Caenorhabditis elegans: one gene and its partner. The protein of the gene in region 1 interacts with the protein of each later gene in a pairwise test. Each region holds a gene or a part of one and is shown on either strand. Other genes may lie near its edges.

Region 1 (5,395 bases):
CCTATAGCGCAAATTACGCTAAATTTTGCATCTGTTAAATGTGTAATATTTGGGTCCCATCGAGATTTACTGTCTAAATTTCAAACTTTACGAAAAATGTTACATAATGTTCTATTTTTGTACTCTCGTCTCCATGTCCACTAGTTTTACAGGTTACTGTTCCTTTCAAAATCTTTTTTTCTCAGAATAAAAAACAATGTCATACGGATATGGTGGATACGGTAATTGTGGTGGTGGAATACTTGGATCAGTTCTTGGAATGGCTGGTGGAATGGCTGGAGGATACGGTGGATATGGTGGATATGGAGGTTATGGGTTTGTTTATTTTGAGTAGATCATTGTTCAACTCTTCGTTATTCCAGAAGATGTGGAGCAGATAATGTGTTTTATCGTTGGCGTTGTTGTGACTACAGTCCTTATGAATGTTGTATACAATTGGAGACATGGGTTGTGTGAGTTTAACTGTTTTTAAAAAGTTTTCAGAAATGCAAGAACACTTATTTTTGATTGAATTTCAGAGTATTTCTTGTCATATTCATAATTGGATTCTTCGTATGTCTTTGTGCTTGTCTAGCCGGATGTGTGTGGTCAGCTCGTAATCGTGAATAATTCCAATGTTTGACAATCAACTTATTAATTGTGATTTTGAAGGTTTCGATATGTATTTACCTCACCATTTATATGCAGTTTAAAAATAAAATAAGTAAAAACCCAGACATAATACACAGAAATAAACATGACGTATATTGAAATCATTGAATACGGGACAATTACTGTTTGAGCATAGGCACTGAAGTGTACTTTCCAAGAAGAGTCGAGAAAAGAGCTGGACCATATCCTGTACCACGATCTCCAACTTCAGCGGGAGCAGCGATATCAAGATGAAGCCAACGTAGTCCTTCGCCAAAACCAATGTGAGCACCAATAAAGAGGCCAGCGACTGCAGATGGTGGTCCATCCATTTTTCCGAGATTCGAATTTTTCATGTCAGCAATAGAAGATTTCAAGTCACCAAAGAAAAGATCCGGGGCAAAAAGCATTGGGGCAACCAAGTCTCCTGAAGCCTTTCCAGCTTTGATGATCTAAGAATGTAAAAATTAAATTGTTATTCTTTTAATGAATGACCAACTTCGTTCTCCAACTGTTCATCATTTGTCATAGCAGCTCCGTGAAGACGTCCTGAAAGCCACGCTTGTGCACCGGTCAGAGTAGCCATATCGAATATAGTTGTTGCTTTGAGAGTCTCTTTTGCATAGAAAACTCCGTCAGCAAGAATCAAACGACCTTCTGCGTCAGTATTGTTGATTTCGACGGTCTTTCCACTCAACATTTTGATAATATCATCAGGCTTGCTGGAAATTAAATCATAAAGTAAAATTGAATTGAAGTTAAATATACTTTGCAATTGGGCTGACATTATTCTCAACAATACAGAGACAAGCATGGAGAGTTTGTGAAAAACCGTGTTTGACAAGAGCAGAGTAAGCTTCAAGCATTCCAGCGGCACCTCCCATATCTCTTTTCATATCTGAAAAAATCCATTTTCATAAATAATAATTGAAGTTTTTCATACTTGGCATTCCAGTCTTGGTCTTAATTTGCAAGCCTCCAGTGTCGTATACAACTCCTTTTCCGACAAGTGCAATGTGCTCCGTCGATCCAGGAACCTCATGGGACAAGACAACAAACGCAGGTGGTGTTGGACCAGCTTTTCCGACGTGATAGATTCCGCCAAATCCAGCCTTCAACAGTTCTTCCCCACGGATCACTGTTATTTTTGATCCAGTCGCATTTCCAACTTTGACTGCTTCATCAACAAGAGCATCAGTAGTCAGGATATTGGCTGGAGTATCGATGAGTCTTGCGGTTTCACGGACCGATTCTGAGAGATCAGTAAGGAAAACTGCATCCTCGTTGGTGAGCTGCAAAGAAATTGAATGTTTGTTTTTCAATTAAAACAAAACAATTAATTCGGATTTTGAGATTGAGATCTTGAAGGACACATAACTTTCTTATCAACGGAAGTTCATGAAGACCGCCGAATTTTGCAGAAGCTATCAAATGATTCTACTAGTTCCTCTTTTTTAATTTCGTCACACTACGCAATAAACTCTTATCGTATTTCTACATTATCAGCACACAATTCCAGAAAAGAATAGTCTCCAGGCTGACTTTGCAAATAGAAGCAAGCACATGGTGTCTGCTGTCTATCAGTGATGATAAAACTATACAGATCAATATATCAAAATGAAGGATAGTTGTCACATACCTTGTCGCAAACCACATCGATATTCACATTCAGTTCACGAATTCCTGAAGTTTTCATCGAGAACTTGCAGAAGGTCCGAGCAATAGCCGCAACGTGAGAAAGAACATCTGGATATTCAGCAAACAGCACAAAATGAACATTCTTTGTATCCTCAGGATAGTTGATTGGTTTTAACTCCTTATATATCGAATGAGCATTAGTGGGGGTATTTCCACGTGAAGAGGCATCTGGGACAGTGATCAAATGAGCCAGCTCGTAGTGAAGAGGATGACGTCCTGAGGCGGGGATTCGAGAAATCATAGAGTTCCATGAGTCGCCATCTGAAATTATTTTTATATTATGGAAAAGTATGAACCATCTGCAGATGCAAAATGTTGTTCTCTTTACACCAACCATACGGTACCAGGTCTCGACAAGAGACATTTTTGTAAACTACAGGGAGGTGTGGGTCTTTTAGAGTACTGTAATTTCAAAATCTCATTTATTCTGAATGGTTCATGATTTTCCATACATACCTGTGCGGCATTTGGTTTCGGCATTTGAACAAAATGCACTTTTTCATAAATATGAAAATACGTCATACGGCATACGGCATACGGCATTCGCCATACGGCATTTGGGTGCATATCTCGAGCAGGGGTAAACTTTTTTTGAAATTTTTTTGACTGGTGACAAGCCTAAGAGTCAGGCTTCTCATCGTATGCTATTTCATACATATACGTATTTTCATATTTATGAAAAAGTGCATTTTGTTCAAATGCCGAAACCAAATGCCGCACGGGTATGTTTCCATAGTCTCTTCCGCGCTTTGTTAAAATGTATGTGTTTTTATTTAATATATGTTTAATATTTAGTATGTATATAGATATCTCTAGATATATATGAATTTTTTTAAACGAAAGTGACCATGTACCGTAATTTTGGACAAAAATCAAAAAACATCGCGTTTGTGTAATCTACCAAAACCGAACCTGTAACAAACTTTTGTGCGACTTCTTTGAATTTTCCTTCGAAAGTCACATTTTTCAAGACACTCTTCTTTCCAACAATGATTAGGCTAGTCAGGCCATCTCCAACAGCTTGAATCCCGTTACGAACGAGGACTTGTGTCATTTTTAGGTGACACTAATCACTGAAATTAGAAACTTTGAAAACCTTTTGAATTAAAAAAAAACAAAGTTGGAAAGTATAAACTATAGTATTCAGACTAAAAAAGGCAAACTCTTTTTAGAAAAAAGGTGTAAAAATTATTACTCAAATAAACCGTTTATCAGTTCCTCCAGCAGGTAGAGAAAGAGTGACCAGAGAAACATAAATGCGAGAAAAGGATGATAAAAAATGGCGAGAGAAAATGTAGAGCAAAAAAATGAGAAATTGAGAGAAGGAACAAATCTTCAGGGCGCGTGTTTGCATACATTCGTGGTCTAAAATTTGAGAGGTTGTGAAATAATGAGGAGCGAAATTTAAAATTTTAATTAAGTTCAAATCAACTCCTATATTAAAGTTGCCTAGGCATAAATAAATTGATAACCCTCACAATCCCGTAGAGTAAAAAAACATGCTACTTCGAATATCTAATTGATTAGTGAGCTTCTAAAATTAATAAATAACTTTCGGTACAGAAAAATTCTAGCCAACTAATTGCAAAACACAATGAAAATGTTAGAAACTATGATGAAGCATGCAATATAGACTGGAATATGACATGAAAAAGAATTGAACATAATTAAACGGGGGCCAATGTCGCTTTCAACATCCGTACTTCTTCCAAAGAAGTGACACGTGATGGCTGATTGTCCTGTTTTCCCATTGACACCTTATTCAATGGAGCATTTTTCTTGGCAACAGAAGCTGAAGCATGATACCAGTGACATTTAGTCCATTCGACAAGATTCGCGACATTCGAACTGTTCACACCACAACCTGCGAGAACATCGATCTTTCCTTTGTGAAGTTCTTGCATTTCTCGAATGATATAAACTCCGTCGAGTGCTGACGGCTCTTGTCCACTTGTCAAAACAGCTTTGAATCCAACATCAATAGCGTCCTCAAGACAAGTTTTCCAGTCATAGGCGACGTCAATTGCTCGATGAAATGTGACAGGATGTGGACGGGCAGTTTCAATTATTGATTGACATGATGTACGATCCAATGAACCGGCTCTGAAAATTGAAATTTTTTGTGGATCATCCAGAGCAATCAACCGTTATAATTACAAAACTTCTTTCGTAATTTTGCCGCATGTCTATGCATTTTAAATGTTTTTTAAAAACAAGCTTTCCGCATTGTTCAAAAATTAAGTCAGCCTAAAAATAATTATTTAAATGTTATGTAAAATTTTTATTGATAAACTTGATTGAGAATTTATTTGCGGAAAATGGTGAAAAATTCGAAATGAAACAAGAATATGTTTTTCTTTTTTCATTTAAACATGTTGGAAATAAAATTATAATATATTTATTTGTTTCATTCAATTTAAAACTCTCCGACTTACGATGTTAATGCTCCAAAAACGAATCCTGTGGCACCAGCTTTTTTGAGCCATTCAACGTCTTCCATATTCGCTGCCATTTCGTCTTCATTATACACAAAATCGCCTGCCCGTTGGCGAATCATACAATAAAGTGGAATATCGGGATACTTGTAGCTCAGAATAGACACAAATCCGACGGATGGAGTGAGCCCTCCGAGTTGTAAAGCTGAGCAAACTTCCAATCGATCAGCTCCACCGGCAACAGCATTTTCCGCAGATTCCAGATTATCGATGCATATTTCCAGTTTTATTTGCTTCTGGGATTCTGTTTCTGTCATCTTAACACAATAGAGTTTGAGAAAATATGTTTTTAACATTGTAAAGAATAGGTATAAAGTTATGGTTTAAAATCCGAAAACTCAGCAAGAAAACTGAACATATCTGGGATAAATGAAAACTTTTATTCGATTCGAATTATAAACGAGCAAAAAATAAATTATCCATGGCGATGAACTTTTGGTGTTGGAATCACAGGCGACAAGAAATTTACATTATTACATGAACTGAGTAGAATTTCCATTGAAACTGGCTCGCTCTTCAGGATCGTCTTCATTCGGATTTTCAAGCCCTGCGACGTTTCCACGCTGAAAATA
Region 2 (3,537 bases), on another chromosome or scaffold:
TAGATTATTTTGAATATTGTTCTTGTTTTGTTCGGTCTTTGATGCAATAAATAGCGAAAAATAGTGTTTTTGTTTACGCAGAGTGACGTTTTAAAGGACCAGAAACCCTTTTCTTTTCTCTGTCTCTGTTAAAAAAGGCCTTGTTTATTTTCCGTAAAATTTTTCATTAGTTTCAACAATTTTTAAAGAAACACTTTTGTTTTAGATTTTTCTTTTTTTTTAAATTAATTTTATTCTTTATATTGATTAGACTTTCATGACCAAAATTTTGAGAAGAGTCTAGTGAGCTCCTTCCTACTCGCATTTGAAGAAAGTTTTATTATCAGCATTCAGGAAATATAATCTCTGAAAAAAAACATTCCAGAAGGACAAAATGACCACAAAGGAAGGATTTGATTATCGAAAGTTTCTTGTTGATCTCGCCTCCGGAGGCACTGCTGCAGCAATCTCAAAAACTGCCGTTGCTCCAATTGAACGTGTAAAGCTTCTACTTCAAGTCAGTGATGTCTCTGAAACAGTAACTGCCGATAAAAAATATAAAGGAATTATGGATGTTCTTGCTAGAGTGCCAAAAGAACAAGGATATGCAGCATTTTGGAGAGGAAACCTTGCAAATGTGCTTCGATATTTTCCAACGCAAGCGCTGAATTTTGCATTCAAAGACACTTATAAGAAGATGTTTCAAGAAGGAATTGACAAGAATAAAGAATTCTGGAAATTCTTTGCTGGAAATCTCGCTTCTGGTGGAGCAGCTGGTGCAACATCTCTATGCTTCGTGTACCCACTGGATTTTGTGCGTACTCGTCTTGGAGCCGATGTTGGAAAAGGAGTGGATAGAGAGTTTCAAGGTCTAACGGATTGTTTTGTGAAAATTGTGAAATCAGATGGACCAATTGGTCTTTATAGAGGATTTTTTGTTTCAGTACAAGGAATTATAATTTATCGTGCAGCATATTTCGGAATGTTTGATACTGCCAAAACATTGTACTCAACTGACGGGCAAAAACTCAATTTCTTTACGACATGGGCAATTGCTCAAGTTGGAACAGTTGGTTCTGGATATTTATCATATCCATGGGATACAGTACGTCGTCGAATGATGATGCAATCAGGGAGAAAGGATATTCTCTATAAAAACACTTTGGATTGTGTTAGAAAGATTGTGAAGAATGAAGGAATTACTGCATTATACAAAGGAGGTCTTTCAAATGTATTCCGAGCAACTGGAGGTGCTCTTGTGCTCACAATTTATGATGAGATTCAACATTTAATTTAATTACAGAATTAAAGTATGTATATGTTAATTTTGAAACAACATTGCCAATAAATTTTTTTGTTTAAAATGCATTTTTACTTTATTTTAAAAAAAAGAAGATTGTTTAAGTTTCACAATTTGAAAATGGGCTTCTATATATGTACAAGATACTAGTTTTTTACCTCAAAAAAAAATAAATTTAAAAAAAATTAAAACTTAGATATACTTTAATCAAAAACGATATTTTCCTCCTCAGAAATTTCAGAATTTTTTTGATAATATTTTTGTTTTTATTCGACTGAAAATTCCTCACTTTTCCTCTTTTCTATTTTTATTTTTCAAAAATGATGCAACGAATCAAAAAATGAATCATTCTTCAAAAAAAAACGAAACGAAAAATAGAGGAGACAGAAATAGAGAAAACGTTTTGAATCTCCGCCCACTCTTGCCCCCTATCATTCCATTTATCAGACCACCTAAATACGAATGATTTCCCAAGGCATTGCCATTCGTTTTCTTGTTGATTTGCAACTTTTCTTTTATTTCCATTTGCAAGTGATATGATAGTTCATCTTCTAAAATTAATTTTTAAAATAAGATTTTTTAACCATAATTTCAGACTAACGTTTTATTCAGACCTATTACATATCCGTTAATCTATTGAACTTTTTACCTGCTTTTCCAACTTCTTCTATTTACAGAACCATCACCATGTCTCAAGAATTCGTTGGACGCTGGAAGCTCATTCACTCAGAGAACTTCGAGGAGTACATGAAGGAGGTTGGAGTTGGATTGATCACTCGTAAGGCTGCTGCCAACTTGAAGCCAACTTTGGAAATCAAGGTCGAAGGAGATTTGTGGTATTCCAACCAATACTCCACATTCAAGAACACCACTCTTTCTTTCAAGTTGGGACAGGTAAGAAAGTGCAAAGTTTTTTACTTACAAAAGACAAAAATAATGTTATCAAAAAAAATGTGGGTTTTCTGATTCCAAATTTGCGACAAAAAAGTTACATAAAAATAAAGAAACGCACTACAAATTTATGAATAAAAATTGTTACTTCCATATTCACAGACAAAAAGTCTTAAAATTCCAGGTGATAACATTTCAAACCATAAATCATAAAATGATCATTGATTTCTTGTTATAAGACTTTGATAAACAATATGTATTTCCCATAGTTTTCGTGTTTTTTCATGCACGAATAATATTTTTTTAAAGCCATGAGAAACAATATCTGATTTCAAAATGCACGTTCGTTGATATCGGCAATTGTGGACAAAGTTTAGCGACTTTCTGCCCACAATTTGCTGTGAGCAAATTCCTGCCAACATTTTATCCTATCCATTTGAGCTTTTGGTTTGAGCAAGTTATCCCCAAATTCCAAGTAATTGTATCCAATAAAAATTGTTTCAACCCTGAAATTGAACTAGCATTCTTCAGACTTATATTTAATGTTTTTATCCCAGGAATTCGATGAGACCACTCCAGATGGCCGTACCGTCAAGTCAGTTGTCAACTTCGAGAACGGAAAATTCATTCACATTCAAAAGAAGATCAAGGACTCTGATAAGGAATCAATTATCACCCGTTGGCTCGAAGGAGACAAGCTTATCACTACTCTTGAATCTGGATCCGTTGTTTCTCGCCGCGAGTACGTTCGCGAATAGATTCTCAATTCCCAACATGAGCTTTGTTCTTGTCTTCCTGTGATATTTAATAGTAAATATTGAAATTTAAAGTATTACAATTATTTCTTTATGGCAATAAATGAGAAATATATTATCAGACTTCGAATCAAGACACTAAGAATGACTAATTGTGACGAGAAATTAGTTAATTTGAAAGCTGCTAAATTCTCATAAATCGACTTTCCTCTAAAACGCTGGAAGGCTATTGAAAAGGGGTGGAGGCGTGGCGCCCCCGTTACGCCTCGACAAGTTTATAAATAAATCTAGATACAATGTCTACAACACATCTGTTTCTAGATCATATTCATCGGTTTATTTTTTAAATAAGCTCTAAAAGTTTGACTATGTAATATATGAATGCGTAAGATCACAATGAAGAAGTCTTCCAAATGAACTTCCAATTAACATTTGTTCATCAGTGAATACAACTGATGAACTCGCCGAAATAGTTGCTCCATCGTTTGCATACGGTTCAGTTGTTACCCAAGAGTTGCCTTCTTCCTGAAACAAATGCGATTTTTGATTTTTTGACGCTTTTTCGCATTGATTAGTATTTGAATGAATTGATAAAAAACGTGGAAACAGAGT

What was found.
Region 2: the proteins of lap-1 (region 1) and lbp-6 interact in a two-hybrid assay, tested with the Caenorhabditis elegans proteins (one study listed by BioGRID).

The regions. Positions count from the first base shown.
Region 1 is NC_003281.10:8,398,528-8,403,922, forward strand, and holds lap-1 (Leucine aminopeptidase 1), read right to left. Parts: upstream 3,402-5,395; 5' UTR 3,383-3,401; coding exon 3,241-3,382; intron 2,590-3,240; coding exon 2,270-2,589; intron 1,923-2,269; coding exon 1,574-1,922; intron 1,529-1,573; coding exon 1,399-1,528; intron 1,353-1,398; coding exon 1,130-1,352; intron 1,083-1,129; coding exon 771-1,082; 3' UTR 665-770; downstream 1-664. Other genes in the region: ZK353.2 (uncharacterized protein), read left to right, coding at 197-315, 363-452, 519-609; cutc-1 (Copper homeostasis protein cutC homolog), read right to left, coding at 3,996-4,431, 4,764-5,080; ubxn-4 (UBX domain-containing protein 4), read right to left, coding at 5,297-5,386. UniProt on the Caenorhabditis elegans protein: Probably acts as a digestive enzyme.
Region 2 is NC_003279.8:6,727,796-6,731,332, reverse strand, and holds lbp-6 (Fatty acid-binding protein homolog 6), read left to right. Parts: upstream 1-1,956; 5' UTR 1,957-1,966; coding exon 1,967-2,173; intron 2,174-2,727; coding exon 2,728-2,928; 3' UTR 2,929-3,037; downstream 3,038-3,537. Other genes in the region: lbp-5 (Fatty acid-binding protein homolog 5), read left to right, coding at 1-3; ant-1.2 (ADP/ATP translocase), read left to right, coding at 374-1,276; mec-6 (Mechanosensory abnormality protein 6), read right to left, coding at 3,292-3,450.